Linked DNA regions of Yarrowia lipolytica. The protein of the gene in region 4 purifies or fractionates together with the protein of the main gene of each other region. This does not show direct contact. Links are inferred from orthologs where the notes say so. Each region holds a gene or a part of one and is shown on either strand. Other genes may lie near its edges. The genes, in order: YALI1_A19483g, YALI1_D11442g, YALI1_F36132g and YALI1_D14300g.

Region 1 (6,880 bases), on a different chromosome or scaffold from region 4:
GCCGCGCGATCCTCCTCCTCGGCCAGCTTAAGCATCTTCTCCACGTCGCCAATCTCAATGAGCACGTTTTCAGGTTTGAGGTCGGTGTGCACAATGCCGCATTCGCGGTGCAGGTAGTCCAGGCCCAGCAACACCTGCTTTGTGATCTGCTTGACGAGCTTGACGGGGATGCCGGCAAACTGGTGTCGTCGAATGAGACCCAGCAGATTTTCGCCCAGCACCTCAAACACCATGCAGTAGTGTGTGCCGTTGGGGCCCACGTGCTTGAAGCTGTCGTACAGGCCCACGACATGGGCCTTGCCTGGATGGTCGGGGTTCTTGCTGCTCACCCGCTCCAGCATTTTGATTTCGTCAATGGCCGTCTCTGTGTAGTGGGAAGCCGACCGCACCACCTTCATGGCCACGTGGCGGTCGTTGTTCTGCGTATCCCGCGCGAGCCACACGGTCGAGAAGTGTCCCCAGCCCAGCTTGCGCACAATCACGTAGCGGCCGTTGGCAAACTTCTCGCCGATCTTCACGGGATGGTAGCCTCCGGGACAGTAGTCGTCCAGCGACTCTTCGTTTTTCTGCAGCACCTCGTCCTCCGAGTCGCTGAGGTCCGTGTTGACGGTGAGTTTCGACATTGTGTGCAACTGGATATGTGATGATGGTCGGTGTTTGTGTCGTATAACCACGGACGAGTACTTTTTTTCTGGTGGATTTCGTCTCGACTAGGCTGGTTAAAAGTGTTTGGTGTAAACTCGGGGGTGTTGTGCTGTCGCGCTGTTTATGTAACGTCGGTTTGTGTCTGCGTCACGTCGTCTGTGTCTCCAACTGAGGGTCGCACGTTCAACTTGTATCAGTATGTCGTCTGGTCAAGTCGTCTCAGAGTACGAGTTCACTAGATATCGCCAAACTTGTTTTGATTTTAAAGTTGCGCATGCATGGCGTGCTGTGGAGGGCCTTGAAGGGGGTCCAAAGAGGGACTTGTAGACGCGCTAGAGACAGAGAAACCCCGCCAAAATACTCGCCCAATTTTTCTCTCCTGATTTCTCTTTTCAGAATCGCGCTGGGACCCCCACAGCCCATTCTAAACACACTCTCCTGCAGGTGCGGCAATCTACCCTCCAACACGATAAGATGAGCTCATGTTCATAACACCGGTTGTAGAGGCCCAAAAGCGGCGGAAAAACGGCTTTTCCAGGTCAATTGCCAATCGGAGCCCATTGCCGGAGATTTCCGCCCCGCCATTTCTTCCCCAAGTCCCCGCGTAACCCTCAGCCCTAAGTACATCCTGTCACGACCCACTTACCCTAACAGAAAACACATCCCAGCCACGCATACCCCATGCATCCACAATGGCAACCCTCCCACATACGAGCAACTCGGCGCGCTTCTTGAGATTAGGAGATAAGCCAGAAAGAGCGGGACAAGTCCGTTGGGGTGGGGGGATGAGTGTGTGGAGGTCACGTGACTCCTTCCGATGGGTGTAATCTGTATATTTTTGACGACTCTCATGCGGGAACATGGTGGTATTGCACTTGGAGAGTATATATACCCTGCTATACAGGAGAGCAAGAGAGAACAGTTGTACTACAAGTGGCACAACCAGCGGTACTTGTACTCTGTAGAACTCCGATTGCACAATTTCCACATGTACCTGAGAGAAGCACCATCTGCCTCTTGTCTCGGCACTGGCTGGTGTCTTTTGTTGTCTTTGGGTGACGTGTTTCAGATGTCTTGACGAGTACGAGTACGAGTATGTACGAGCGAGTACAATACACTTGGATACGATGTGATATCGGGCAGAATTAGAAAAATCGAGTAAAATAGATTGGAATCGGGAAAACCCCCGATTTGATAAGAGTCGATTTTATATATATTTTGAAAATTGAATTGCACAGGTTTCGAGCAACGCGGCCATTTTGACCCCTTTCTATACCAGTTGTTTGGAAGGCCTATATGGTCAATATTGGAATAAGATGTTTTTTAGAGATGACAATTACGTCATATTGGAGGAACATAAAAAGGCGTATGCAACGGACAGAATGGTGGCTCAACAAACTAGAAAAGACTATGGTTGGAATCAGCAAATCAATAGCTCTCGATCAGTCAAAAAATTATCGTCATATTGGCAAAACTGGCCTCATTAGAAGCCCTCTCCAATCCCTTGTCTCATGGCAAAAAGTAACGATCAGTTAGTAAAACTTTTACTACAGTGCAGTACTTGTAGTGTGACCTGGGTCAAAAAAAAAGATGGAGGTAACAAACAGAGCGGGTGTCAAGTCTACAAGTGCATTATTGGAACGGAAAAATTCCTTAAACGGGCATTTCTGGCTACTATACATACATCAGTCGTCTATCAAATAGCAACGAATCTATCTCACGCCACAGAGGAGATATTGGAAATCTGACAAATCCGTCCTTCTTTTCATGCCCATTTCAATCAGTTTATCATCTCTCGGCGTGTCCTTATCCCTCTTATAAGGTGCTGTTTGTTCGTCACCATCAGTCAGCTTTCAGTTGGATACTGAACGAGTATGTACTGTACCGTAGAAGAACATCCTGGGGTAATATTGGCCAACTGACTCTTTCAACCAACTCCGAATCTCATCTAATCCACTTCTGACTCTTTCGTTACCCTCCAGCTCACTTATTCGTCTCACAACCTCACCCGTTCTCTTTAGCAGAGGTACTCCTTCAACTCCAGAATACCATATCAAGAGCCATATATTTCCATATCCAATGGTATCATTTGCACGTCTCCCAGATGCCCATACCGCCAGTTAATCGCATGTCATCAACAGTCCAGATCCATGACACCCCCAGCCCATGTATGACTAAGCAGGTGGCAATCAATACCACTCAACTCATCTGTGGGCCCTAAAAACTCCATCTCCCCCTCTTGTGGAGCCGATAATGACCCCCTTCACTCCGCCTTTTCGCATACTCTTAACCTCTATGTGCATGCACATCGCCACTTAACCTAACTGTAGTGACACGATCCAGCACCACTCAACCACTCAACCACACAACCGCAATCACAACGACAATGTCTCCAATCGCATCTCTGGAAAGCGCATACAAGGCCGGCGACTACGAAAAGGTGGAGCAGCTGCTTTTGCCCCTTAAGGTGGACATGGCCAAAAGCGGGCTTCTGACGTCGCCCAACTCGTCTGGTCATTCAAAGGCGGACCTGGAGGCAGCTCGAACGGCGCTCGAGATTGGCGCTCTGTCTGCCGTCAATCTGGGCAAAGAGGCCGAATTCACCAGGTTTGTGGCGCAATCGCGGCAGTTTTATGGCATCCAGGGTCTTTCTGCGTCGCCCCACGAGTCCAAGATTGTGGCGCTCTATCTGCTGCTGCTGCTGTCGCAGAACGAAATTGCGCAGTTCCACACCGAGCTGGAGTCGTTGGACTTTGACACGGTGGAAAACGACAAGTTTCTATCGTTCCCCATTAAGCTAGAGAGATGGATCATGGAGGGAGCCTACGACCGGGTGTGGAAGGCCATCACCAACAAGGACGCTGTTCCCAGCTCCGAGTTTCTCTGTTTCGCCGACCCTCTAGTATTTGCCATCCGGGGTGAAATTGCTTTGTGCGCCGAAAAGGCATACACCTCGCTGCCTCTCAACAATGCTCGACATTTGCTGTTTTTCGACTCGGACCAGGGCGTGGTGGACTTTGTGCAGGAGCAGCCTGGCTGGGAGATCCACGGTGAGCGAATCACCTTCCCGGGTGTTATCAGCGAGGACGCCACTCTGAATAGCAGAAAGGTGACCGAGAAACTGATTGGAAACTCGTTGGAGTACGCCAAGGAGATGGAGCAGATTATCTAAGGGAGCGACAAATCGGAGATACGATACGGAAACAACAATCTATCGGTACAGTACCGGTTCGGCGAGGATCTCAGTGTCACTACCATCTGTGATCTGGCCTGACCATGATGAAGTATGAATTGTTCTAGATGATGCATATTATAATGAGCAGAAAGTGTGTAGTGATAGTACGGTACGTGTATTGAATGAGGAAACCGCCGTCTCTCATCTAGTGTCCTTCTAAGGTGAATTGTCGTAGGACGATGTACATACGCATGTTGTAGGTCGACTGTTGTACTTGTGGTCACGTCTCACTCGACTGTCTGTGTTTTATTACAAATAATTGATGTAAACAAAATGGGCAAGACCAGTGCAACAGATTGATACTACTTGTATCTACTTATCCATGGAATGTCTGTGGATCGTGATAAGGGTCGTTTGAGGTGATGGAGGATTAGTTGACCCAAGTCACATTTTACTTGAGTTTACTTGGGTATTGTAACAACAGCCGTTGTCTAAATAAAATGGCGTCACGGAAATAAATGAATGTATAAGCAGAAACAACCCAGTATCAGCGTATTCTCTGATCTCGGGAGGGTACAATGTGTGTTTCACTACTGAGAGTGCCTAGTAGGAAAATGTCCAGGGCGCCCTTCTTACCTAATTCACCAGCTACAGCTCAGAGGCCTGCTGCTATCTTGATCATAATGCATTAACCATTTCCTTAGTGTATTGAATTGCTGACGATACTGCACAGTCATGACCTGTTATGAGATGTAGGAGAGTACTCGTAGTCTTAGCGACGGGCTTGACTACGTTCGACGCACGACTTGATCGCTGAAGTAGTTCGCAGTAGCCACCGTCTACGGCCCAAGAGACCCACGGAACATTGCGCCCAAGTCACCGACCACCGAAGGTCCTGTCACAAGACTATGTCTCGTCTTCCCAGGAGAGTAGTCTAGACAACCCATCAAATGAGTTTGCGAAGGAGGTCATCGCCGAAATCACCCACCTTGCAAATATACGCGGCGTTGTTCACCACGCCCTTGTTGAGCTGGTCGGACTTGTCCAGCTCGGTGCACTTTTCCAAAAAGGCGAGCACCTTCTTTCGCTGGGCCTCATCTAACTTGGCAGCATGAACACCGACAACGGTGGTGATTCGCATGGTTCGGGGGGTAATGGGCCCGGCCAGCCCGTCGATTACATGGTCAAGCATGTCTCGATCCATATCCGAGCAGTATGAAAGGGCGGTTTGTAGTACAGACTTGATATGAGCGTCTGCTTCATTTTTGTAAAACTGGGCTCCCAGGGTCTTCAATAGAGCGTCAGTGTCCTTGTCAGAGACGTGTTTGACGACATTGAGCAGAATCTGTGCTCCCAAAAGTCTCAGTTCGGGAATGTAAGGGAAAGCCAGCAGATTAGTAAGTCCTTGTTTGAGCAGTGGACTAGCTGCCAATTCCACACAATAATCCTTCTTGTTGGACGCCAGTTTGAGGAAGTGGCCTCCCGACTGCAACTGGTCCGTGTACTGGCCAGTTTGGAGCAGAAACAGCGACTCTTCAATCAGATGCGGGTACTTTGTCAGCACAGTGGCCAGATCTGACTCATTAGTAATCAGAGTACTAGTCACCGCAATCCAACAGGAGGGCCCAATTCCGGCCAATTGAGGGTCCCAGAACTTGAGATCTTTCAATTGGTACACAAACTCGAGCTGGTTCATGTTGATACCTTCCGAAGCACACACCAGAGCGGTGTAGAGGGCTCTTCTGAGATCAAGAGGGGCCAAAAGAGCGTCATCGGGATTGTCCTGCGATAAATCCACTACCAGCTTGTACAGTTTGTCAAATTCCACCATCTTTCCTGTTTCCTCGTCGTTGACCATGACCAGAAGCAGCTCTGTGGCTCCCGGAACATTGGAGTCTTTCTGGGTACAATTCAGCAGATATTGGTAGACCGCCGCGAGGATTCTGGGGTCCAGTTTTAGTCGACCAATCACCCACATTTGCAGCATGGTCAGCAGAGTGCCTATCGATACAAAGTCGGTATCTGTCAGGGTTTCAAACAGCAACACCAGTCCCTGGGTGAACTCCTGACTGTGAACCAGTTCCTCCTTGACGTCGGGGTCTTCGCCATTGGCCCAGTTGAAGAGCACTGCCGAGTAGAAGGGAAGGGCCATCGAGTTCTTAGTCTTCACCAATGAGCTCATGTAGTGTCTGAAGGAGTCCTGGTTGAGCCACACGTCCAGCAAAATGGCTCTATTGACCTCATTTTCACTCACGCAGTTGCCGATGATGCGTAAGTAGGACACAACAATGAGGTTGTCGGTGGATGCGGGTAGATCAAACACCTCGCAGATCTCAGGAAGCACCTTGCCAATGTCCGACTGGTACTTTGTGTCTCTGAGAGTGACTGACAGTTCCGAGATCTGCTCGGCAGATCCGACGGAAAGAACGCCACTTTTGCCGATCGTTTGTAATGCTTGCCTGGGGTCCATTGAAGAGTGTCAAAAGGGTGTCGGAGTCGTTTCACAGCTGATACGGTCCGCTTCTCACAACTGCTGAGTGTAGATTGCTGTGCCAGGACACTGGGCAACTTTATGCATGCACCAGAGATGGGGGAGGGGTCATGTGCTGGGGCGGTTACGGCGTCCTTGAAGATGATTGGAGGGCACAAAACGACATGAAACGGGCTGGCGAGTCCATTAAAGGCATCGCCAAGGCCCCAGCTGCTCTACAGGGCCCACAAAACTACACTTGCTCCGATTCTCCATATGCACCCCCTCATAAGTTTAAAAGAGGCGGAGAAAACTGGCTGGAGGTGAAGAAGGGACAAACAGCTGATTTTTGTTGAAGCTGGCCGGGCAGAAAAACCCGCTTGGTTTTGGTAGCCGGATTCAGGCGGAGGATCGGCCCGCCATCTACACAGGTTATGACCACAGGTTACGAGCGGGCGATGTTGACCCGGTTCAGTCTTTTTCGAGCGTTTTCCTTGGTTTGGGTTTTTCAGTCTCACCAGTATCAATGCAAGTTTGTAGAATAAAAAATAAATAAGGAAAGACAAGAAAATAAAATAAAACAAAGAAAA
Region 2 (7,226 bases), about 290 kb from region 4:
TCTCTGTCATCAATATGCTAGTCTGCTTCCTCCAGACAAAAAAGTACACGCTGTTTGGGAGAGATGTCTCCAACGTCCCCGGAACCCCCTCGGCCGCTCTAGAGCCTCTGGAAACACCTTGCGACGACCTGAACCAGTCTGGGGAAGCCCAATTCAAAACCATGATAAAAAAACGACTCTCCGGATTTATGAGCCCGGCTCCTGCTCCTCCAGTAGTCGACCCTACCACGACTGATAGACCCACTCGAGTGTGGGTGCTCAACGTGTGGGAGCCGTCTCTGTTCCATCTCAACATATTTGCGCTCTTCTCGCCTATACATGTCATTGCTCTGTGGTTCGGTCCGCTAAGCTTCGTCCAGGTCTTCATTACTCTGCCCGCCTTTTCTTTCGCTCTGTATGCCATGAGCCACATGTTCCTGGTCTACGTCAAGGACAAGAACATCATCTCGGGCGAGGTGCTCGGCGAGTTTGACAAGAAAGTCGTGCATCCTCTACTTGGAGTGATCAAGCAAGACGCTGCTGTTGGAGCTGACGGATCTTGTGAGTTCTACGACGCTGCGCTGGATAACAAGTCTGTTTACAGAGAGGCCGGCATGGCACCCAGCAAGCCTCCTACCCCTGTCAAACTGGACACCCCGACTCGTCGACGGACGTTCGTGCCTACTTCCGGACAGCTCCCCGGAGCAGGTGCCCAAGCGGGTGACGGACTTCGCCATTTCTCCCACAGACTGATGGATGACCGACGAGGCTCTTCAGGATACACCCCGTCCAGCTTCGGCAACACCGGACCCAGTGTGCCCAACCATACCACATTGTCTGGATCTCCTGTTGGCCGTCCTTGGAGGAGAAAGCAGTAGTGGACGTATAAATACGGCCCAACTACCAGTATATATTTAATTAATGCATTCCTTCATAATGAATATCGCCGCCCTATAGTGAGCGCTGACGTGCAGTTGAAGTGTTCGTACTGCACAGTCAAAGACTCGTGGGCGGCCAGGATCTCGCCATACGCTGAAATGATATCTTACATGTTCTATTAATTATAGATGCTACCTAATTATATACCTAAATATAATCATTCCTACTCGGTATCTCTCTCTATCCTAAAGTACTACAAGTATAGAGCTCTCGCAGTCGCATGTACTAGTCCTCGCACAACCTCTTAAACCTCGTATCCGAAAATGAGCTCTTCGGCCCGCTTGGCGGTCCAGGACAACCAGCCCGTCTTCTCAGCGAGACCCGTTTTCTTGACTTTGGGGTTGGTGATGGTCTTGGAGGAGGGCTGCTTGAACACGGTGTTGGTTCCGTCTCGAATCTCCAGCCGCTTGGCGCCGTTGAGAGCAGGCAGCGATGTGGTCCGAGGCAGACTTCGCTCCGAAGAAGAAACAGATGCAGATGCTGAAGGGTTGGGGTAGAGGCTAGTGTTCTGCTGCTGAGTCTGGGGGAACTTGGACTTGATGGGCGAGTCTTGGTAGTCTGAGTCCATCATGCTGGCGTCGTGCGAGTCCAACATAGAGGCCGAAATGGCGTCAAAGTCGCGCATCTGCGATGGCGTGTACGGCTTGCAGCCAATTACGTACTGGCCGGCAAACTGGGTGCCGTCTTCGGCCAGCGCTCGGATCACAGACGCCTTGTTGTCATAGGTGATTTTGATCCAATTTCGGCCAGCAAAAACAGGAGGTCTGTTTCCGGGAGGAGGCCGCTTGACTGGGGTGGTAGACAGACCGAACGAGGCGTCGCTGGGCTCTACGTTCTCCATGATCTCGCCAAAGTTGTTAAAGTGCGACACGATGGACGGCGTGAGATGCTGGGGGAACCCGTAGACAACGACGGACAGGTTGCCATCGCTGCCCATCGCCAGTTTCCGGGGGGTGTTAGCATGGTTAAAGGAGGCAGTGGCTCGCAGAGTCTTTCGAGCGGCTGTTGGGTTACTGCTGAAAGTCTCCGAACGACGCATCCCCGATCCAGCCGAGTTACCTCGTCGAGCAGCACTAAAGGGCGATCCTCGCGAGTCGTAGATGGACTGTGTGGGTGGTAGCTCCTCCTCGGTGATGGTATGAGTCTGTTTCTTGGTTCCGGAGGGCTTGGGGGTGCCGAAGGACGAGCCTCCGACGCCCGAAGGAGGGGATTCTCCTGCCTTGGCAAGCGACGACTTCATTGTAGGGGAAGTAGACGCTCTTCTAGTGAAGCTGGCAGATCGTTCGGGGGTACGATCGCCGGCGTAAAAGGATGACTTCTGCTTGATGGCCGAGAGATGGGAGGGCACGAATCGTCGGTCGTTGGAGGTCCAGGAAGGAGCACCTCGAGACGATCGGAAGCCTGGAGTCAGCGGGGCACTGTGTTCTCTCATTTGCTGGTTACCGGCACCATAGCTGTTGCCGTTGGATGCTCCTCGTAGATCGTAGGCCGATTGCGAGTGCGACAGGCTGTACGAGGGGGCCCCTCCGTTGTTGTTGGCGGAAGTTGGAGTGGACAGAACGTCGCTGTTGAAGAAGGAGGACTGGGACTGGTTGAGCGACGCATTGCCCAGGGAACCAAACGACGTGTTACCGTTAATGGTGGACGTGCCAAAGGTCGACTGTTGGCCAAACGAGGGCTGGGCCTGGGTCTGGGTCGTAGAAGAGGTGCCAAAGGGGCCTCCAGTGGACGCTCCGAAGCCTCCAGACGTCGACGAGGTGCCGAATCCGCCGGTGGACGACGACTGCGAGTCGAACCCATTAAACTGACGCTTGGCGGCTTGTCCAAACATGCTGTGGTGCGGTTTCGTGTTTTTTTTCTGCCTGTGTTTGTTTGCAAATAAATGTTGTTGTGAACAATGTGCTTGTCACAGGCACTCACAGGGTTGGGACACAGTTTGAGTTGGGAAGTAGGGTCTTGACTGCCAGGTCGTGCTGTAGGTGGGTGAGTGGGAAGTAGCAACGAGTAGCAACGAGGTTGATTGTGGCACATATCGTGACCGAAAAAGATACGGAATTAATCCTTGCGAGATAGGAGGGCGATTGGCAGACTCAATCACTCTTCCGATCCGCTCAATCACCCCTCCTGGAGTGTCTGAACCATCGCTGTGTGTGTATCCATAACCTCTTCTGTTATGGTCAAAACAAGACCCAAGCCATATGCTGTATCTAGAATGCCGGCGAAGACAAAAACAAGTTTTGTTCTCATCAGGAGAAGTAGTAAACCAGACCCCATAAAAACCGGACCCCAGGACCCCTATATATAATCTTGTTCCCCCGCCACTCACCACATTCAAAGGGTCTTGCTTATTAAGCGACAACCTCCCAAACCTTAGCTGTCAATGTACCGCCACCACATACGACATCTGGTCCAGACACATCTCACACTCTCAAACGACACAATGACTCTAGAAGAAACGCTGGCAAGCGCCAAGACCGCCGGAGACAAGGGCAACCTCGTGGAGGCCGAGAAATTGTACCGGGAGATTCTCGATCAGAAGGCTGGAACCAACGAGAAATCGATCCAGATCCAAGAGTCGGCTCTCATCAATCTCGGCACTCTCTACGCCTCCAACAACAAGCCCCAGGACCTCGCAGACCTCATCCATACTAGTCTGACGGTAATGAGCGGCTTTGCCAAGTCCAAAACCGCCAAAATCATCAGAAACCTCATTGATCTTTTCGCCAAAGTGCCGTCTGACTGTATCGACCTGCAGATTGCCACCACACAAAAATGTATCGAATGGGCCGTTTCGGAGAAACGAAACTTTCTGCGACAAAGCCTGCAGACCCGGCTGGTGTCGCTGTTCCTGGAGAAGAAGACGTACTACGATGCGCTCAACCTCATCAATACCCTGCTCAAGGAGCTCAAGAAGCTCGATGACAAGATGGTGCTTGTGGAGGTGCAATTGCTGGAGGCCAAGGCGTACCACGCTCTCAGAAACATCCCCAAGAGCCGAGCCTCTCTCACCTCTGCACGAACCTCCGCCAACGCCGTCTACTGCCCTCCTCTCACCCAGGCTGCTCTAGACACCATGTCTGGTATCCTGCAGGCAGACGACAAGGACTATAAGACAGCATTCAGTTATTTCTACGAGGCATTCGAGGGCTACGTGGGCCAGGAAAACCCCAAGGCTGGCACTGTACTCAAGTACATGCTACTGTGCAAGATCATGTTGAACCTGGCCGATGACGTGGAGACCATTCTCAACAATAAATCCGCACAGGCGTACCAGGGTCGAGACGTGGACGTTATGAAGGCGGTGGCAGTGGCCTATGCCAACCGATCGCTCAAGGAGTTTGAGCACGTGCTGGAACTATACAAGGAGGAGGTCCAGGCCGACCCCGTCATCAGAGTGCACTTCAACGACCTGTACGACTCGCTGCTGGAGCAGAATCTGCTCAAGGTGATTGAGCCCTTCAGCTGTGTCGAAATCAACCACATTGCTGAGATCATTGGCCTCGACACCCGACAGGTGGAGGGCAAGCTGTCTCAGATGATTTTGGATAAGGGCATCAAGGGAGTGTTGGACCAGGGCAACGGCTGGCTATTCATCTATGATGAGCCTCAGACAGATAAGACTTACGATTCGGCTCTGGAGACCGTCAAACACATGTCCACCGTGGTCGATTTGCTGTACGAGAAGGCCTCTTCTCTCAACTAAGCAATGTAAAGTAGCTTAATGAAATGATGAAGATGAGAGGGTGTTATTACTAGTAGGAATAAGACTGGAAGTACAGACTGGAGTATTTTAATACTAATAGTGAGGTCTAATATTGTAGTTATGATTAATTATGCAAACATCTATTTCAGTCACCAGACTAATTCATCAGAGCAGAAGCCTGGAAAATGCACTGGAGGAACTCTTCCAGCCGTCCGGAGTCGACAAAGTCCCGGTAGATTTGTTGCTGGTCGTCGGCAACAAGAACAGACAGTTCGATGGCGTCGGTAACAAATCGAGGGTCAATGTGCCGCGATCTGACATAGACAGACAGTAGCTGAAGAATGACATAGGGGATGTAGATCTGTCTGAGATGAGACAGGTGGGTGTAGTCCTGTGGCCTGATCTCTTGGTTCTCTGTGTATTGTTGCAGGAGTTCAATGAGCCAATCGTGGATCAGCTTGTCGGACTGCCGTGCAATCTCGGTTACCTTATGGGCAATCTGGGTGTTATTCTCATGGGTTCTGGGGGAGTTCATGAGCTCTTCCCAGCTGTGCACGGCGTCCAGGAAGAGAATGAGATCGTAGAGCTGCTCGAGTTCCCGAGCGACAAGCTCGTCGAGCTCGTTACCATCGGCTCCCAGAGTGTCTGCCTGGTATTGCTGCATCAGCATGGGCACATTGAGACGCATACCAGCTTCTCGGGCAGCTCCGACCTTTCCACAAAGCAAGAACCGTCTGAGAAGCTTGACAGAGGCATCGATGGTCTCAGACCACATTTTGACGTCTTCAAACCACTCCACAGCCCGGTAGAGGCGCACATCGGTGTCTTCGACCTGGTTGTCGAACTTCACAGCAATGATGTCAGGAATGACGTACTGGGACATGCTTTCATCAAAGACACGCGCAACAGCAGCCTTGACACATGCCTTGATGTCAACTCCGTATTGGTTAGCCAGGTGTATCTGCTGCTCTCGTTCAGAGGGGTCGGAGATGTTGGCCAGGTAGTAAGAGTATTGGTCAGTGACATCTTCCGAGTCTAGGAAAGAAACATAGAGAGGAACCAATTCCATGTGTCCCTCTCCAGCCAGCCGTTCAACGTAGGCAGAGATGATGTTGTAATGGCTGATATCCAGTTCTTTCTGGCCTCCATATCCATGGCGAAGAGCAAGTAGAAGATGCACAAGAACACGTAGAATGATGGAAGACTCGGAAACAGCATTGGGCTGGCCCGTGCTAGCAGCAACTCTTAATGCGTCAGAGGAGGTGGACGCAATGGTCTCAATTGTGTTGTTGATGACCGCTCCCACAAAGGTTCGGATGGGGTTCATGGCCTGTCTCTTGACGTCAATGTTAGAAGACTCGGCCAGCAGTTCCAGAGCGTCCTGCATGGAAGACACGTGACCAGGACACACGAGTGGGATCAGAGCCTTAGTCTTAGAAGACACTCGGTGAGCATCATTCAAGGCCTGCTCAAATTGATCGCTGCACATGTTGTTAGTGTACGCCAGCAGTTGTGTCTCCCAGCTGTCGCTGACCTCCAGAACCGTGCCTACATCTCCTCCCAGGAAGCCGTACACGGCCTTCTCGTAGTCTCCGATAGGCGACGCAGCTACACTGAGACACATTCGTCGCCATAATGCGGTTCGTGTGGTTCCCACAGCCTTGGCGTCGTCCAGAGGATCGACATCAGTGTCCTCCATGGCTGCAAGTCCGCCAATGGCCATCTTGAGCGACAAGTTTCCGGTCTTCTCAGCCAGTTGACTGGCCTCCTTGATCTGTCGTCTTCGGATGAGATCAAAAATGGCCCGGAAGAGCTTGCTGTCGTATCCGGCGTCTTCTCCTGCAATTGGTTTCTTTTGTCGAAGGGGGGCATCGGCGTCCATCTCCGAAACCAGGGTGCTGGTGTTGCCCACAGATCCTCCCCCAAGTCGTTTTTTGGAAGCAATGTCGCTCTTGGTGTGCATCCACTTGGAGCCCCAGATCTCAATATTCTCGTGGTCCGACGGCGTCAGGTTGTCTTGCAGCCACCGGTTGACCAGAAACGTCTCCATCACACGAAGATGGGTCTGTTTGTACTGTTGAAGCACACTGGCGTCTGAAGAGAAGGGGAATACATCGGTAGTGGTACTGTCTCCCTCCACGTCCATCTTGTCGTCGTTGTGAGTCTCGGCAAACCGCTCTCGGGCCTCAGAGAGGGTCGCAGTCAGCTGCCAGAACCGGGCCTCCAGTTCCCAGTTGCTGAAGTTCTCCGAGTCCATAGCTTCTTCTGTTTCCTGGGCCGTTTGGGCAGCCAAATCTCGCGAAATGTCCATGAATCGGTCAATCAGCTCCAGAGGATTGTCCATCAGCGCCTCCAGGGCCGACGCAAACAGCTGATACTCGTCTTCCATCGCGTCTATGTCGTTTGAAGCGGTGTGGATTAAAAAACAAACAAATGCTGCAGCCCATCACTACCGCACTTTTTATTGTTTTAGGTTGCAGGTTGGGAGAGACGACGACGGGGTTAGGGTGTAGAGGAGCTGCTAATTGGGGATGATGGAAGGGTCTTGGAATGAAATAGATGACTCGGACGGGTTTTTATTGGGGTCTTACGTATATATGTGTTG
Region 3 (7,638 bases), on a different chromosome or scaffold from region 4:
CTACAAACACATCCCACCCTGTCACGCTCTCCCGATGTGAGAGCCGCTGCTCATGCATATATCCTTACATCTTAAAATTAGAGACACAGAGTCGAGTTCCCTCCTACAAGTAAACAGTAACGTGTCGTATCGTACGACCGTAGATGTGCCTAACAATTTCCCTTCGACACCACCGAACAGCAGTGTGTTGCAAGGCCTCTCACACAGATGTGTTACCTGGTTGAGACTGGCACCGCGCCCTACAAGTAGAGACACTTGTACACTTCATGACAAGCTTGTTTGATCCCGCGTACTGTGTGTCCTTACTACACAAGCATTTACAAGAACCATTATGTTTTTCAGTATTTGCCATGAGTAACTTCTCCTTTAATTTTTAGAATTAGGATTGCTATAACAAGTCAGGGACTTGGTTTTTCTAGTTTTTTTCTCACAAGGGTAATACCTTCCTTGGTCTTAGAGAAAGTACTACTTGTAGCTACTTGTAGCGACAAGAGAGAAACATCGGTACGACACTTCACCCTACAGTATGTACTGTACAGCACATAGTGTTACCTACAGGAGCTACTCCCCCTTTCCCCCCCCCCATGGCCCACTAAAGTTACCCCAACTTCCCCACAAAGCCTGCTTGCGATTTGGTTTCATTTAAGACACGGGCACGGTTTGTGATGTTTTGCGGATACCGAGAAAGTATTCAGTTTAGCGCCTCAAGTATAGTCGGGTATCGAGGGTGTCTAGTTCCTGGGAACCTCATAAATGCACTAAAAGTGGCTCTTTTTGTATCCATTGCCACGCTCACATCATTCATAGAATGTACATTTTCCGGACATGCTCATCGGAGTTACAGACATTACGCGACTTTACGACGGGCTAACTACTCTGAGGTTTATTTCCAAAGGTGGGGTATGTATTTGTATGAAAAACTTGCTTTTTGCTGCTTCCGTGTATGTACGAGTCAGACAGTGCCGACGTGGGGGGGTTCGCTAGACTTTTATTTGACTATAGATTTTGATAATACTCTGTACTGTACCAGGAGTTCTGTTGATGCACCTAACCACGAATGAACCTGACTTTTCTGCCTAAAAGTATTGTATTTGGTACAGTAAGTAGTTGTACTGTAGGTGGCTTCCGTGGGCCCTTACAGTAACTTGTCTACATCATACCCAGGGGATGGCCTTATAAAGCTAGAATCACTCTACCTTCGAAGGGGGCCAAATCTGCTCACAGAATAAACAACCACTTTACCCAAAAGGCGGCTGTGGTGAACACACTTTATCCAGCCGGGTGGGGCTTTACCATTCGTTATTGCAGCCGTGTTTGGTAGAACATTGTCCACCAACTGGAGCAGGCAATTGAAAGAATGGTCGCTAATTGTATTTCATAAGTCACGTCACATTATTATCCACCTTTTTCTGCAATAACACATTTGATCTAACACAAATACCCCCACAGTCTCATCAAATCAAGACATCTATCGTCTTTTGTCATCTGTCTATGCTTTTTTGACCAGAAAAGGCTGAACCCTATGCGGTCAAGGTTGGCTAGGTTCAGAAAAACTCTGCTCGTGAGTCATCATGTGTTTGAATAACTGTTCTGGCGGTTTGGGGTTGTTATACGACGGGTATTTCTCATCCACTCAAGTCTACCAACGAAGTACAACGTTGCCAAGCATTATGGTGCCCAGATCATCTCCTCCTCCTTCTTGGCACATAAGCAATGCACTACACCAGCTTCTTGAACTCTGTCTTGAAATGCGGGGAATCATTGAATTGATCTGAGACACAGTTCCGAGGCCTATATAACCTATTGGATGTCCTAGAAGTGTTTTTGGCACCCATAAGCCAGTATGGATAAAGAATCACTAAGTCACGACGAATACACCGAGTCAGGGGGGCTTGAGCATGTCGAGTACCCTCAGGGTCAAGTCCCGCAAGAAGTTATCGACGCTGAAATTGCGCAACTTGCTGAAAAGTACGGTATAAATCAAAGGAAACTCATGTTCAAGGTCGACATTTGTGTCATTCCTGTCATCTGTATCCTCTACATTCTTGCCTTCCTGGATCGAGTCAACATTTCCAACGCCAATGTTTACGGAATGAGTAAAGATCTCAATCTCTACGGTGACCGTTTCAATACCGCTCTTGCAATCTTCTTTGTTCCTTATGTTGTCGCTGAAATTCCTTCGAACTGGCTCATGAAGAAGTTCACGCCGCACGTGTGGTTGACAGGCAGCATGCTACTGTTTGGAGTAACTCTTCTGGGTCAGGGCTTCGCCAACAACTACTCTGCACTCCTGGCCACACGGTTTTTACTAGGACTCTTTGAAACAGGAATGTTTCCCGGGTCTTTCTACCTGATCTCCATGTGGTACCGACGAGAAGAGGCCCAAAAGCGATACTCTTTCTTCTTTTCAAGCACAACCCTGGCCGGAGCCTTTGGAGGTCTCATTGCCGCAGGTATTCATAATCTCGATGGAGACAAAGGCCTCGCTTCGTGGCGGTGGATCTTCATCATTGAAGGTGCCTGTACTGCTTTCATCTCTATCATCATGTTCTTCTTAATGGCCGACTTCCCAGAGGACGCTAAATTCTTAACTGAGAATGAGCGGCAGTTCATGAAAGAGAAGCTTGAAGTAGGAAATGCAGGTGCCAGTGAAGCCGAGAGACCCATGACTTGGAAAGACGTTAAGAGTGTCTTTTCTGACTGGAAGGTGTGGGTCATGGGGTGGATGTACTTCGGCACCATTGTACCTGCATACGGATACGCTTACTTCGGGACAGCTATTGTTAAGACGTTAGGATATTCTGATGTCAAGACCCAGCTGTACTCGGTCCCTCCCTGGGTGGCGGCCTTTGGTTTCTCAATGTTGGCAGCCATCTTCTCAGACTACCTCAGACATAGATTCTATTTTGCAGTGTTCGCCGGTATCGTTGCTATAGCTGGTCTGGCAGTTGTTATTGGCGTACACGACAAAATTGGAACTCGATATGGCTCTCTGTTCATGATCTGTGCCGGAACCTACACTGCTATGCCTCTGTTTGTGTGTTGGACCCAAATGAACTTCTTAGGCCATCATAGGCGAGCTATCGCGTCAGGATGGCAGATTGGGTTCGGAAACTGCGCTGGGTTCATTTCGACCTTTGTTTTCCAAGCAAACGACGCTCCATTTTATACGCCTGGTTGCGCCGTTTGTCTTGCCTTCGCTTGTCTCTCGCTTGTTATGCAGTTTGTCTATGCCGCTGGAATCACCTGGGAAAACAAACGAAAGCGAACACCAGAATACATTGAAAAGTTCAACGCTCTCTCCGAAGATGATAGGAGAATCGCAGGAGAGCTAAATCCCAGCTTCTTCTACTACTATTAATTTATATGATTATCTTAATAAATACTGCATATTTTTATATACATACTATGTACAGCTACTGTTGCAGCTTCTTCATTCGAGCAGCAGGATGTCTGCTCAACTCCTGGTTGTTAGGACTTGCCTCAGATCGACTGATCATCTGCTTCAGCTCAAATAGGACGTCATCATCCTCCTGACCAAGGAAGGTAACGGCAGTACCTCGCTTACCGGCTCGTCCAGTACGTCCGATTCTGTGTGTGTAGGACTCAATGTTGTTCGCCATCTGGAAGTTGACGACCAGCGAAACATTAGGAATATCAAGACCTCGACCAGCAACATCAGTGGCAACAAGCACATCCACAGCACCTCGCTTAAGATGCTGAACAGCCTGTTCTCTCTGCTCCTGTTGTTTTCCACCGTGAATAATAGCTGTTCTCCATCCTGCTGCAACCAAAGCATCTGAAACGGCCTCACAGTCTCTCTTGTAGTTGAGGAAAACGACAATTGGGGGTCGGTATTGTCGCTTACTAATGATATCAAGAAGACGACGCTTTCGTTTCTCGTCAGTGTTAAGAAATTCAACCAGCTGTGTGACTGTAGAACCCGCCTGGCCAGCAGAACCAATAGTGACAATACCGGGACGTCGAAGATACTTCTTAGCCAGCTTCTCAATAGCCACGGGCATGGTGGCAGTGTACATCATGGTCTGTCTGTATCGCCTGGTGGATACAGCCGCAAGGTTTTCGGCCTCATCAGAGTCGGGCTTAGCATTTGACGAGGGTAGAGACGCCAGAACCTTCTGGACTTGCTCCTCGAAGCCCATGTCCACCATACGGTCGGCCTCATCCATGACCACATAGCAACACTGGTTTAGAACCAACAGTCGCCTGTCAATGACATCAAGCAAACGGCCAGGGGTAGCAACAATTAGTTCTGCTCCTTCTTGTACAGCCAGAGCCTGCTCTTGAGCAGAGTATCCACCAACGACAGAAACCACCTTGAAGCCGAGTGGTGCGCAGAACTTGACTGCTTCGTCTTTGATCTGCATAGCCAGTTCTCGAGTGGGGGCCAAAATAAGACCGTAGGGACCATTAACCTTCGATCTCTCATCTAGCTTGGGTAATTCACAAATGTAGCTGATCAGAGGGATCAGAAAAGAGGCAGTTTTACCACTACCTGTCTCAGCAACGCCAATCACATCCCGAATGCCTAGAGCAATAGGAATAGCAGCTCTCTGGATAGGCGTGGGCTCCTTGTATCCCATTCGAGAGATTGTATCACGTACAATTCCTGGTATTTCCTTGCACTCATTCCACGACCTAAGAGGATTGGGAATATTTCCTCCGCCCTTGGTGACAATGCTGTAATCTTCCTTGAAGATACGCCAGTCACGCGACGTCATGCTTTCCACAGGTTTATCAGACCAGTGTGCGTCCTCCAGGTCACGCTTTTGGCGTTTGGGCACCTGCCCATCTCCGGAATCGATACTGTAGCTGGGCTGATATGCCTTGGAGGTGTCATCTGCAGCACTCCAGTCGAATGAAAACTTTCCAGAGGTTGATTTTGGCTTGGGTTTCGAAGGGAGAGGCTTGGTGGTCTCCACAGTCTCCTGAACAACTGACCTTTTCAGGTCGGTGGTAGATCGAATATCCTTCAACGTAGTCTCTTCAGATGTCGTGTTTTTCTGGATCTGTTTGGCCTTCGCAGCCATCTCGGCCCGCTTAGCCTTGGAGATGAACTTTGGCTTAGAAGCCTCTTTCTTTTGAACCTGCAAAGCCTTGAGCTCTTCTATCGACACTGGCATAGTAGTTCTTGTTGGTACTTGTAGTGAGGTGACCACTTGTATATTATAAATTGGAGTTCATTCAATTAAGTTCATGGTCCATATGCAGCTGGAGATCAAGGTTGTTAAGGTGGGTTGTTACTTGGAGTGGAGGTGCGGAGAGAGGGTGTGCGACAGTGGCGAATATCTGTATCTATAATCCCACATCACGACCAGTACTTCTTATGAAATCATTTAGCTTCATCAACCAACTTGAGGTTCATACATGTATACTCCTATCGCATGCACACATTATGCTATTGTACGCCATAAGTACAGGTTATGAGCTACACCTTTCTGTATAATCTCCATCTAACGACATCAATCCGTCGCTCAATTACCTCAAATGTTGAACCGAACCCCATCTACAGTACGTCTTCTCCCAATAACACGCTGCTCGTTCGGAATCACCTATACGTGACCACTTACAAAAGCACCACCAATTAAGGTTGTCGCCACACATCACCACACTCAATCACATAGGATTCATCACCACACAATCATACTCATTTCAGCACAGACAACCATGACCACAGACCACCCTGTTTTGGCTGAAATCAAGCAATCCTTCGCCTTTCTGGAGAAGGCCGTCGCCTCCTTCGACCAGCGATTCGTCCTGCGAGTCCTACGAGGTCTGCCTGCTCTACGAAAAAAGCTCACTCCAGAATTGCTGGCACAAATCGCCGTCATGACCTACCCTGCTGGCGATGAGCGAAGAAGCGGGTTTGTTGCTCTGGCTGGAGTCAACCCCAACACCGACGAAATGGAGGTTGATGGAGCCTCTGGCGCCACTGAGGCCACCACCCAGCCTCTACCAGAGATCGACATGTACGTTTCACTGCTGTTCCAGGCCTGGCTGCTCCACGAGAACCGAATTGACGACTTGCGGAAACTCAGCGAGCACGTGGTGGCTAGATTGAGAACCTATAACCGACGATCGCTCGACTACCTTGCCTCCAAGATCTGGTTCTACCTGTGTCGAGGTGAGGAGCTCAGTGGCAACCTCGAGGCTGTCCGACCCATCCTGCTGGCATCTCTGCGAACTGCCTCTCTCCGACATGACCCCGAGACTGAGGCCTCGCTGATCACCCTGCTGCTGCGAAACTACCTGCTCTGTGCACATGTGACCCAGGCCTCTAACCTCGTGTCCAAGGTCAACTTCCCCGAAAACGCCGCCAACGCTCTGGCCGCTCGTTACATGTACTATCTGTCCAAAATCAGAGCAATCGAGCTTGACTACACAGCTGCCCACGCCCACATCACTGGAGCCATCCGAAAGGCGCCTCAGACCCCTCTGGCTGCCGGCTTCCTGCAAGCCGCACAAAAACTCAACATTGTGATCGAACTGCTGATGGGCGACATTCCCGAACGAAGCGTGTTCAAGAGCGGACGGGAGCAGAGCCTCAAGGCTTACTTCGAGGTGGTCAAGGCTGTGCGAGTCGGTGATCTCAACCAGTTTGCTGACACAATCAAAAAGTATGCATCCGTGTTCAAGGCCGATGGTACCTACTCCCTGGTTCTGCGTCTGCGACAGAATGTCATCAAGACCGGTATCAGAATCATGTCTCTGGCATATTCACGAATCTCTCTTAAGGATATTTGTATCCGTCTGAGACTCGAGTCGGAGGAGTCTGCAGAGTACATTGTGGCCAAGGCCATTCGAGATGGTGTCATTGAAGCCACCATCGACTCGGAGCGAGGATTCATGCAATCTAAGGAGGTGCTGGACGTGTACTCTACTAACGAGCCTCAGCAGACCTTCCACGACCGAATTGCCTTCTGCATCGGTCTCCACAACGACAGTGTGAAGGCCATGCGGTACCCCATGAACTCCAACCGAATTGATCTGAAGAATGCTGACGAGGCTCGTGAGCGAGAGCGGGAGCTGGTCAAGGAGATTGAGGAGGGCGAGTTGGACGACGATGACGACGAGGATTTTGATCTTTAGATAGGCTAGCATATGATTTTAGAATGTCCACCATTGTAGGTAATGTGTTACGAAATTGTAATTGGGTTAATGGCAGCTGTAGACTACAACGTGGGCGTTTACTTTGTCCCAGACTCCGTTTCTGTGATGCCCTATTATCCTATTTTATTGCAAGTAACCATGTCTCCTTCTCCTTTTAGGCGAGTATAGTATGTGCAGTAGAGATGACAATAACATAGGTTACTACTGTGTACAAGTACGAGGTTATGAGATCGACAAATAGATGTTTTTGGGTTCATTTACACGGGATAATAAGTAATTCTTATTCGTATGACGGAAAACCAGATGATGGTAGCTTTCCTCTTCAAATACCGGTACAGTACAATAGTAATTAGGTACGGGAACTACTTGCAGTACGTTGGGCCAATTCCTAAAAAACTCAAAATTATTGCTGCAGCTGCAAACCACCATCTGAAGATGTAAATATCACCGAACCTTGACTCACGACAATCACCGACACAGGGCAATCATCAAGGGCACATTAACGAC
Region 4 (7,424 bases):
GATTTCGTCGTCCTCCTCGTCTTCGTCGGCGGCTTCTGCCAGGGCCTTTTGCAGCGACTTTTTCGTTCCGTTTCGCACCTCCATGGGCGATATCGCCGACACCTTTTTTGTGCGCGCCTCGGCCTGTGATTTCAGGTACTTTTGCTTCCAGTTAGTCGGCAGCTTGGCCATGTCTATGTGGTTCTTGAGAGGAAGGCAGGTGTGTATGGAGGGAGCTTGGATAACTTGGAAGAAAGGTGCATGAGACAGGCATGAGGGATGCTGGGATCAGGTTATGAGGAGTGGTGAATGGAGAGATTTTTCTGTGTTCCAGAGCAACAGTATGACCAATCAACATCTTATGATATCACCACTGTGGCCGCCGTCTCATTTATCTCTTTCATTCCTGGGCTAGTCTCTGCCTACTGTCCAGCTCGTCATGGGTTACCCTGCATATGCAAGATAGCGAAATTTTGGCAGGTCTGGAATTTTTTTTGACTACAGTTTGACAGAGTGCAGGCTCGACTTGAAACAGTACACAAACATGGCGAAATTATCTCTGGCCGAGCAGATTTCTCAACTGGCTAACCCCAAGCCCAAGGATGTGGATATCGAGAACTTTGAGGACCGTGACGATGGTTCCGAGAGCGGTGGAGACGTGGATTACGACAGTGATCTAGCGACAGAGCACTATGTCAAGGTCGGCAAGAGCAAGCTGCGAGATGATGCTCCTGCTCTAAACCCCAAGTACAAGGCCGGCAAGGTGAGCAGGAAGGCTCTTTATGACGACGAGGACGAGGACGGCGATGGCGCTGACGGTTTCATTGATGAGGACGACGAGGACGATGAGGAGGACGATGAGGAGGGAGAAGGCAATGGTTTCATTGACGACGAAGTTGAGGTTGATGAAGAGGACCAGGACGAAGACGGAGATGAAGACATGGAGGATGAGCAGGATGAGGACGAGTCTGACGAAGAGCTGTCTGAGAACGAGAATGACAGCTCGGCTAGAGCCACCCTCAAGGAGCTGCTGAGGGAGGAAAAGAAGGCGTCCAAGCAGCAGGCCAAGGAGGCTATTGTTTCCGACGCACAAAAGGGATTCGCCATTCACAAACAGACCGATCTATACGAGACACTTCTGGACGCGCGAATCACATTCCAAAAGGCAGTCCAGTCTGCCAACGCTCTTCCTATCAGCGATACTAAGGCCGAGGAGCTCGGTGAAGACATCACCAACACTCTTCAAGACACAAAGGCAAAGTTGTCGGACTTCATCTCCCAAATAGCCAAGATGCGACACAACATGGCTGTGCAGGACAATGTGTTTGCTGCCGACTCCGTCAAGCTATCGACCAAGCGAACTTTTGATGCCACTCTGGATAACATGGACAAGCTGGATACAGAATTCAAGGCATACGAGACTTCTGTGCTGAGCAAGTGGTCTCAGAAGGTGCAGGCCTCATCTGCGGCCTCCGCTCTCAACTCCTCCAAGTTCAAGGCTCTGAACCAGTCTTCTGCCAACCAGGTCGCTGCTACTCTGGCGGACATGGACCGACTTGTCAAGCGAACTCGAATGAATCGATCCAACGTTGTCATTCTTGGCGAGGAACAGATGGGCGCCATTCAGGACGCCGAGGGCGAAAACTACTACATCTTTGATGACTCAGACTTTTACCGAAACTTACTCAAGGATCTGATTGACCGACGAATGGTGGATTCCGGCTCTCAAAGCAGTGGCGTCAAGACCTGGACTGCCACAAAGGCCAAGACCAAGAAGAACGTGGACACAAGAGCATCCAAGGGTAGAAAGCTGCGATACCATGTGCAGGACAAGGTGCAGAACTTTGCTGCTCCCCGGCCGGTTTTCACCTGGGAGGACGATCAGATCGACGAGCTGTTTGCCGGTCTTCTGGGGCAGCGAGTCAACTTCAACGAGGACGATGATGGAGAGGAGAAGGAGAAGGAAGAAAAGGAAGAAAAGGAGGAGCAGGAGTTGGTTATTCCCGACGACGGTCTCCGAATCTTTGGTTAGTATCAGTGGTTTTAGCATGGGGTTTTAAGTAGATGTACTTTAATAATAGAGGCAGGTGCCAAATGAAAATGAAGAGTATACAGGGCGTATTAAGTAGTGTAATAAGAATAAATAGTAGTAAAAGTACAGTATATACTGGCATTATTGTTTGGCCGGTTTCTTGATCCCTCTGAGTTTCAATTTCGGCCGTGGCTTAGACTGTAGCGTTCTGGAGAGCTCTCTAGTTTGTTGTGCAAGTGATCCTTTCTGCTTGGTAGAATCAAACAGTCCACCGTGGGATAGAGACTTCAACCTGAGTTCTTGCTCCGCCACTAAACCCCTTTCCAGGTGAGGAACCATCACTTGCGCTTCCTTAGCAAGAGGTAGATCCCGCAGAAGTCCCATTTTGTCCTTGAGAAGGTTGTCTCTTTGGTCTTGGGCTTCCAATGCGCGTTTTTGACCTCTGAACCTGTTCCTCATCTTATATGACAGGTCCTGGTGGTATCTGGCTTTGTCCAGATGTTCATCATACATTTTCTGTGTCTCTTTGGCCGCGTCATCAGCCGAAAGCACCGACGATTTGAAGGTCCATTCAGCGATTGTCTCTCTGCTGTCTTCGGACTTAATATGACGTTGTTTGAGCTCCTCCTCGGCCTTTGCAGCCCTTTGTTTGACGACTTCACGCTCGACCGCCTCAAAAGGGTTGCTTGGAGTTTCTTCCTCTCTCTTCACAACCGACTGTGTGAAGGTAGCTCCTTCTACGGTCACGTAGGTAGCGTTCTTCGGATCCGTCTCAATGACAATGGGATGTCCACACTCAGCATGTTTGATATCAAAGCGCCAGATGGGAGACGACAGATAGCTGCCGTGGCGTGTTTTGACCGCGTTGAACCGTACTCCTTGAGCTATGGTCTTGTCACATCCATGGCATTTGGCAGACAGAGGAAGCTCGAATCTGACAGTTGGTTTGCGCGGATTCGCTCCCGCAAGCTGGTTGGCGGACGACTTGCCGTCGTAATCTGGCGGGTAGTATTTATTGGTCGCTTGCGACATTCATGGGTGTTGTCTAAGTGTTGTGTATTGTTGGCTACAATTGATTTTATTTTCTCCATATGCAGGTTGATAGCGATGAGGTTATTGATAGGCATATTCTAAGTATTTTTGTTAGGAGTACAGTTGGTAGTTACTTGGACCAGGTGGAAGGCAGTAGAACTGCGTGGAACGAGAGCATGGCCACGTGGGGAACTTTTAAATAGCCATTTCCTCTGGGAATCGTCAGATTGTTATTTCTATCCAAGTGACCATTTATCATCCCTCCTTCCATTCTGTTGCCACCTGATTACTAAGTGCAACCGCGCATCTGCACATTGCCACCTTCCACCTAACCTCCATCAAAGCCAAAAGTCCCACACATCAAACACCACACGACACCACCACCACAAACCACCACATACAATGCCACCAAAATCTGATTGGGAAAAGTACAAGGCCCCCATCGACGAGGATGCCGCGCAGGAGAAGATCATTCCTCTGTCCGAGGGCGACATCCAGGTACTCAAGACGTACGGAACTGCTCCCTATGGTACTGCCCTCAAGAACATCGAGAAGGACATCAAGGACATGCAAGCACGAATCCAGGAGAAGGTCGGCATCAAGGAGTCCGACACAGGTCTGGCCCCGCACCACCTGTGGGACACACAAATGGACAAGCAGCGAATGAGCGAGGAGAATCCTCTCCAGGTGGCTCGATGCACCAAGATTATCGAGACTGCTGAAGACCCCGGAAAGAGCAAGTACGTCATCAACGTCAAGCAGATCGCCAAGTTTGTCGTGTCGCTGGGCGAGCGAGTGTCGCCCACAGATATCGAGGAGGGGATGCGAGTGGGAGTCGACCGGTCCAAGTACCAGATTCAGCTGCCTCTGCCACCCCGAATCGACCCTTCCGTCACCATGATGACGGTCGAGGAGAAGCCCGATGTCACCTACTCGGACGTGGGAGGCTCTAAGGAGCAGCTGGAGAAGCTGCGAGAGGTTGTCGAGCTGCCTCTGCTGTCTCCCGAACGATTCGTCAACCTCGGAATCGACCCTCCCAAGGGTATTCTTCTATACGGACCCCCCGGAACCGGTAAGACTCTGTGCGCACGAGCCGTGGCTAACCGAACAGACGCCACTTTTATCCGTGTCATTGGCTCCGAGCTAGTGCAGAAGTACGTTGGTGAGGGTGCCCGGATGGTCCGAGAGCTGTTCGAGATGGCTCGAACCAAGAAGGCTTGCATCATTTTCTTCGACGAGGTCGACGCCATTGGAGGAGCCCGATTCGATGACGGAGCCGGAGGAGACAATGAGGTGCAGAGAACCATGCTAGAGCTCATCACTCAGCTCGACGGTTTCGATCCTCGAGGAAATATCAAGGTCATGTTTGCCACCAATAGACCCAACACTCTAGATCCCGCACTCCTGCGTCCCGGACGAATTGACCGAAAGGTCGAGTTCTCACTGCCAGATCTCGAGGGCCGAGCTAACATTTTCCGAATCCACTCAAAGAGCATGTCTGTCGACAGAGATATCCGATGGGAGCTCATTTCGCGTCTGTGTCCCAACTCCACTGGTGCTGAGCTGCGATCCGTGTGCACTGAGGCCGGCATGTTTGCCATTCGAGCCCGCCGAAAGGTCGCCACTGAGAAGGACTTCCTGGCTGCCGTCGAGAAGGTCATTAAGGGTAACCTCAAGTTTAGCAGTACTTCTCAGTACATGCAGTACAACTAGTCTGTGAAGATAGAGGTAATAATAGATGATGTTATGATAATGGTACAAGCACTTGTACCAATGAGTAGAGAGACGCGCTTTGTGCTGTAACAGACAACGTAGACTTGTATGTAATGCTTATCCTCAATCGTTTTTGAGCGGTTGACCATCTCGTCACTCGAGGTAACTGGCCGCAAGTACATTGATAGAGGTCGATGATACGTAATTCCTGATGTTGTATAAAAATGCGATTTGTGACTTTGTCTATCTATATAAAACCCCACTGCTTCTTAGCAGTCCTATTTCATAATCAGTCCTTTTCTTTGCGTTTGCTTGTTTGTTTTTGTTTGCCTTGTGTCCATACTCCAAGGAGCACAAGAGTGTGCCCGGAATACAGAGTGCTGTCCGGAACACCTAATAATGCATATATATATCCTCCTCCAACCGTCAACCAAGATGTACCTGAAGGAACATGGTTCTGTTGATTACTCCCACCAAGACACCAGACCCATGCCTTCTCCCTGGCAACTGGCAATCAGAGAGTAAGGAGGAACACCTGGCTTCTCGGGGTCCTGCTCGTCGTTAGGAGCAGCACTTCCAGCGTAGCCCTGCTTGAGTGGAGGCAGGTCCTGGAACTTTTCTTGTTCGATTCGGAACCGGATCTTTTCGTTGGTATCCAAAAACAGCTCCTGCTCCTCGTCAGGACACCACATCCAGGCCTGTTCTCGGGCGACAAACTGCGAGTTTTCAAACAGCAGGTGTGCGGGGATAAAAATGTCGTCGAAGAACTCCATCTTCACCTTGATTCCTTCCGCGGTACAGCTGGAGATCCAGCCCTCTAGTACCTCTCCCACAAACGGCCGGAAAACCACCATTCTGAAGGTGATTTTCACAAATGCAGCACCGTCGCCGGACATGACCTGGCCTTCGCCGACAGTGATCAGGTCATAGACACAGATGCACAGACCCACTCCGTCGATGATTTTGTTAGCGTAGCAGTTGTTAATCTCGTCCACAATAGCGTCGTTGAGCGGCTTTTTGAAGCTGGTGGGATCGAGTCGAATGAGATCTGTGAAGCGCGTGAGAATGAACATTGCGATGGATGAGACCCAACTCAGAGACAATCTTGATGATAGTTGCACGGTGTAGCTGGATATTTTTTAAGGTCTGCATCGCACTGCATATCCCTAACCACATCTTCACTTTTTCTACACAACTCCCAATGTCGCTTAGTAAGAGTCGGTACCAGCAGTGCCCACGATAGTCACCCCTAATAAGGACAAACGTACAAATTCCCAAAGCGGAATAACCTCCTAGAAATACGGAGATAACCGCTCTTCTCCATTCGGACACCTTAGCACCTTAATTTCGAATATTCACACATACTGTACTGACAAAACACACAAGAAAAAAAAAAAAAAAAAAAAAAAAAAAAAAAACCCAGGCCACTCCCAAGGTAATTAAACCCAACGCAATTGGCCATGACACCCGTCGACGAGGCGGAGGATACGAGCAGCTCTAGTGCCATTTATACACTACCCTAACCCGGGCCGATATGTCGACCGACCAACAAAAAAACGTCAACCACAGCCCGACAGTAGGATCGCCCCCAAGTCGTTGAAGAGGCATGGTCACCCAGCAGTCGTATTTTAGGTGTTCTAAGCCTGTGATTGTAACGGGGATCGTACCGGTACTGTGAGACGGGCAGAAGAAGCAATTACGTAAGCTGGAGGAACGCCCGCAACCCTCACAACCGCCGCGTTGGCACTCGTATTGCACTTCCTTTCCTTAGGGGTTGCTGCTAAAAAGTGTCTCCGTCATTCCCCACAATAATTCTCCGGAAAACCTTACGGGGGTTAAGCCTAGCCCAATAGGACATGGTGCGAATGGGTGTGGTCATACCCCAGAGGTTTCGTGGGGCTACCGTCAAGATTGTGACACCTGGCGAGTTGGAAAAGTATCCCATAAAGTATGTGAATAAATTAATTCGGATTCTCCACGTCTTCGTCTTGCCGAACCCGCCAATTAAACACCGCGAATCTTGATCCGGTTCATCCCGGACGTGTCCAAACTTTGTTTGGTGAGTATTAGGTCGCATGTCATTGGCCAATGGCCCGCATTACCTAAGCTCGGTGGGCTTTCAACTGGCCGCACGCAGATTATTTCTCTCTCTCTTTTTGGTTAGACCATACAAGTCGATCTGAGTCGGTGAGTAGCAAATTGCGCGGCGGAGGACGGGGCGCTTCGAGGCACATTGACGGCAGCCATTCGTACCCACGATGTGGACGGTCTTGCCCGGTATCTCTCAGTGCAACAGGTTTTTCGTTCGGCAAAAGGAGAAGTGGGACACCCAGCAGCTTGTTTGGCTGTACGCGTGGCGAGCATGTTGGCAAGCGTGAAGGAGAGAGGTTATCACAAGTGCGTTGGCGTGACGATGACAACGGAGCCTATGCTTCGCAGCATCATTCTTATGGTCCACTCTTCTGTCGGTGCCATGGTTTGGTGGTTCTCTCGTGGTATGTTAGACAACACATTCAGTGTGACATGTGGATATGTGAGGTGTGAATGAGAGCAAGTGGTACAGACACGAGTTCAGTGAAACAAGAACCAATGCTTAAAGGTACACGCGAACCTGACCGGTGTTGCTTCTTTCACCCAGTTGCTGGGATACTCTGAATGTCAGACTGTC

The links.
Region 1: the proteins of YALI1_D14300g (region 4) and YALI1_A19483g purify together in Saccharomyces cerevisiae (affinity purification with mass spectrometry; 8 studies listed by BioGRID, with this or other methods). This does not show direct contact. The link is inferred for Yarrowia lipolytica from reciprocal best matches to the Saccharomyces cerevisiae genes RPT1 and RPN12.
Region 2: the proteins of YALI1_D14300g (region 4) and YALI1_D11442g purify together in Saccharomyces cerevisiae (affinity purification with mass spectrometry; 8 studies listed by BioGRID, with this or other methods). This does not show direct contact. The link is inferred for Yarrowia lipolytica from reciprocal best matches to the Saccharomyces cerevisiae genes RPT1 and RPN6.
Region 3: the proteins of YALI1_D14300g (region 4) and YALI1_F36132g purify together in Saccharomyces cerevisiae (affinity purification with mass spectrometry; 5 studies listed by BioGRID, with this or other methods). This does not show direct contact. The link is inferred for Yarrowia lipolytica from reciprocal best matches to the Saccharomyces cerevisiae genes RPT1 and RPN3.

The regions. Positions count from the first base shown.
Region 1 is NC_090770.1:1,945,213-1,952,092, forward strand, and holds YALI1_A19483g (uncharacterized protein), read left to right. Parts: upstream 1-3,031; coding exon 3,032-3,817; downstream 3,818-6,880. Other genes in the region: YALI1_A19459g (uncharacterized protein), read right to left, coding at 1-623; YALI1_A19515g (uncharacterized protein), read right to left, coding at 4,767-6,290. UniProt on the Saccharomyces cerevisiae protein: Acts as a regulatory subunit of the 26S proteasome which is involved in the ATP-dependent degradation of ubiquitinated proteins. Necessary for activation of the CDC28 kinase.
Region 2 is NC_090773.1:1,140,971-1,148,196, forward strand, and holds YALI1_D11442g (uncharacterized protein), read left to right. Parts: upstream 1-3,298; coding exon 3,299-4,621; downstream 4,622-7,226. Other genes in the region: YALI1_D11406g (uncharacterized protein), read left to right, coding at 1-857; YALI1_D11437g (uncharacterized protein), read right to left, coding at 1,163-2,749; YALI1_D11479g (uncharacterized protein), read right to left, coding at 4,779-7,010. UniProt on the Saccharomyces cerevisiae protein: Component of the lid subcomplex of the 26S proteasome, a multiprotein complex involved in the ATP-dependent degradation of ubiquitinated proteins. In the complex, RPN6 is required for proteasome assembly.
Region 3 is NC_090775.1:3,607,563-3,615,200, forward strand, and holds YALI1_F36132g (uncharacterized protein), read left to right. Parts: upstream 1-5,688; coding exon 5,689-7,110; downstream 7,111-7,638. Other genes in the region: YALI1_F36094g (uncharacterized protein), read left to right, coding at 1,844-3,361; YALI1_F36127g (uncharacterized protein), read right to left, coding at 3,417-5,144. UniProt on the Saccharomyces cerevisiae protein: Acts as a regulatory subunit of the 26S proteasome which is involved in the ATP-dependent degradation of ubiquitinated proteins.
Region 4 is NC_090773.1:1,426,061-1,433,484, reverse strand, and holds YALI1_D14300g (uncharacterized protein), read left to right. Parts: upstream 1-3,445; coding exon 3,446-4,756; downstream 4,757-7,424. Other genes in the region: YALI1_D14333g (uncharacterized protein), read right to left, coding at 1-171; YALI1_D14329g (uncharacterized protein), read left to right, coding at 524-2,011; YALI1_D14304g (uncharacterized protein), read right to left, coding at 2,153-3,043; YALI1_D14276g (uncharacterized protein), read right to left, coding at 5,221-5,829; YALI1_D14260g (uncharacterized protein), read left to right, coding at 7,412-7,424. UniProt on the Saccharomyces cerevisiae protein: The 26S proteasome is involved in the ATP-dependent degradation of ubiquitinated proteins. The regulatory (or ATPase) complex confers ATP dependency and substrate specificity to the 26S complex.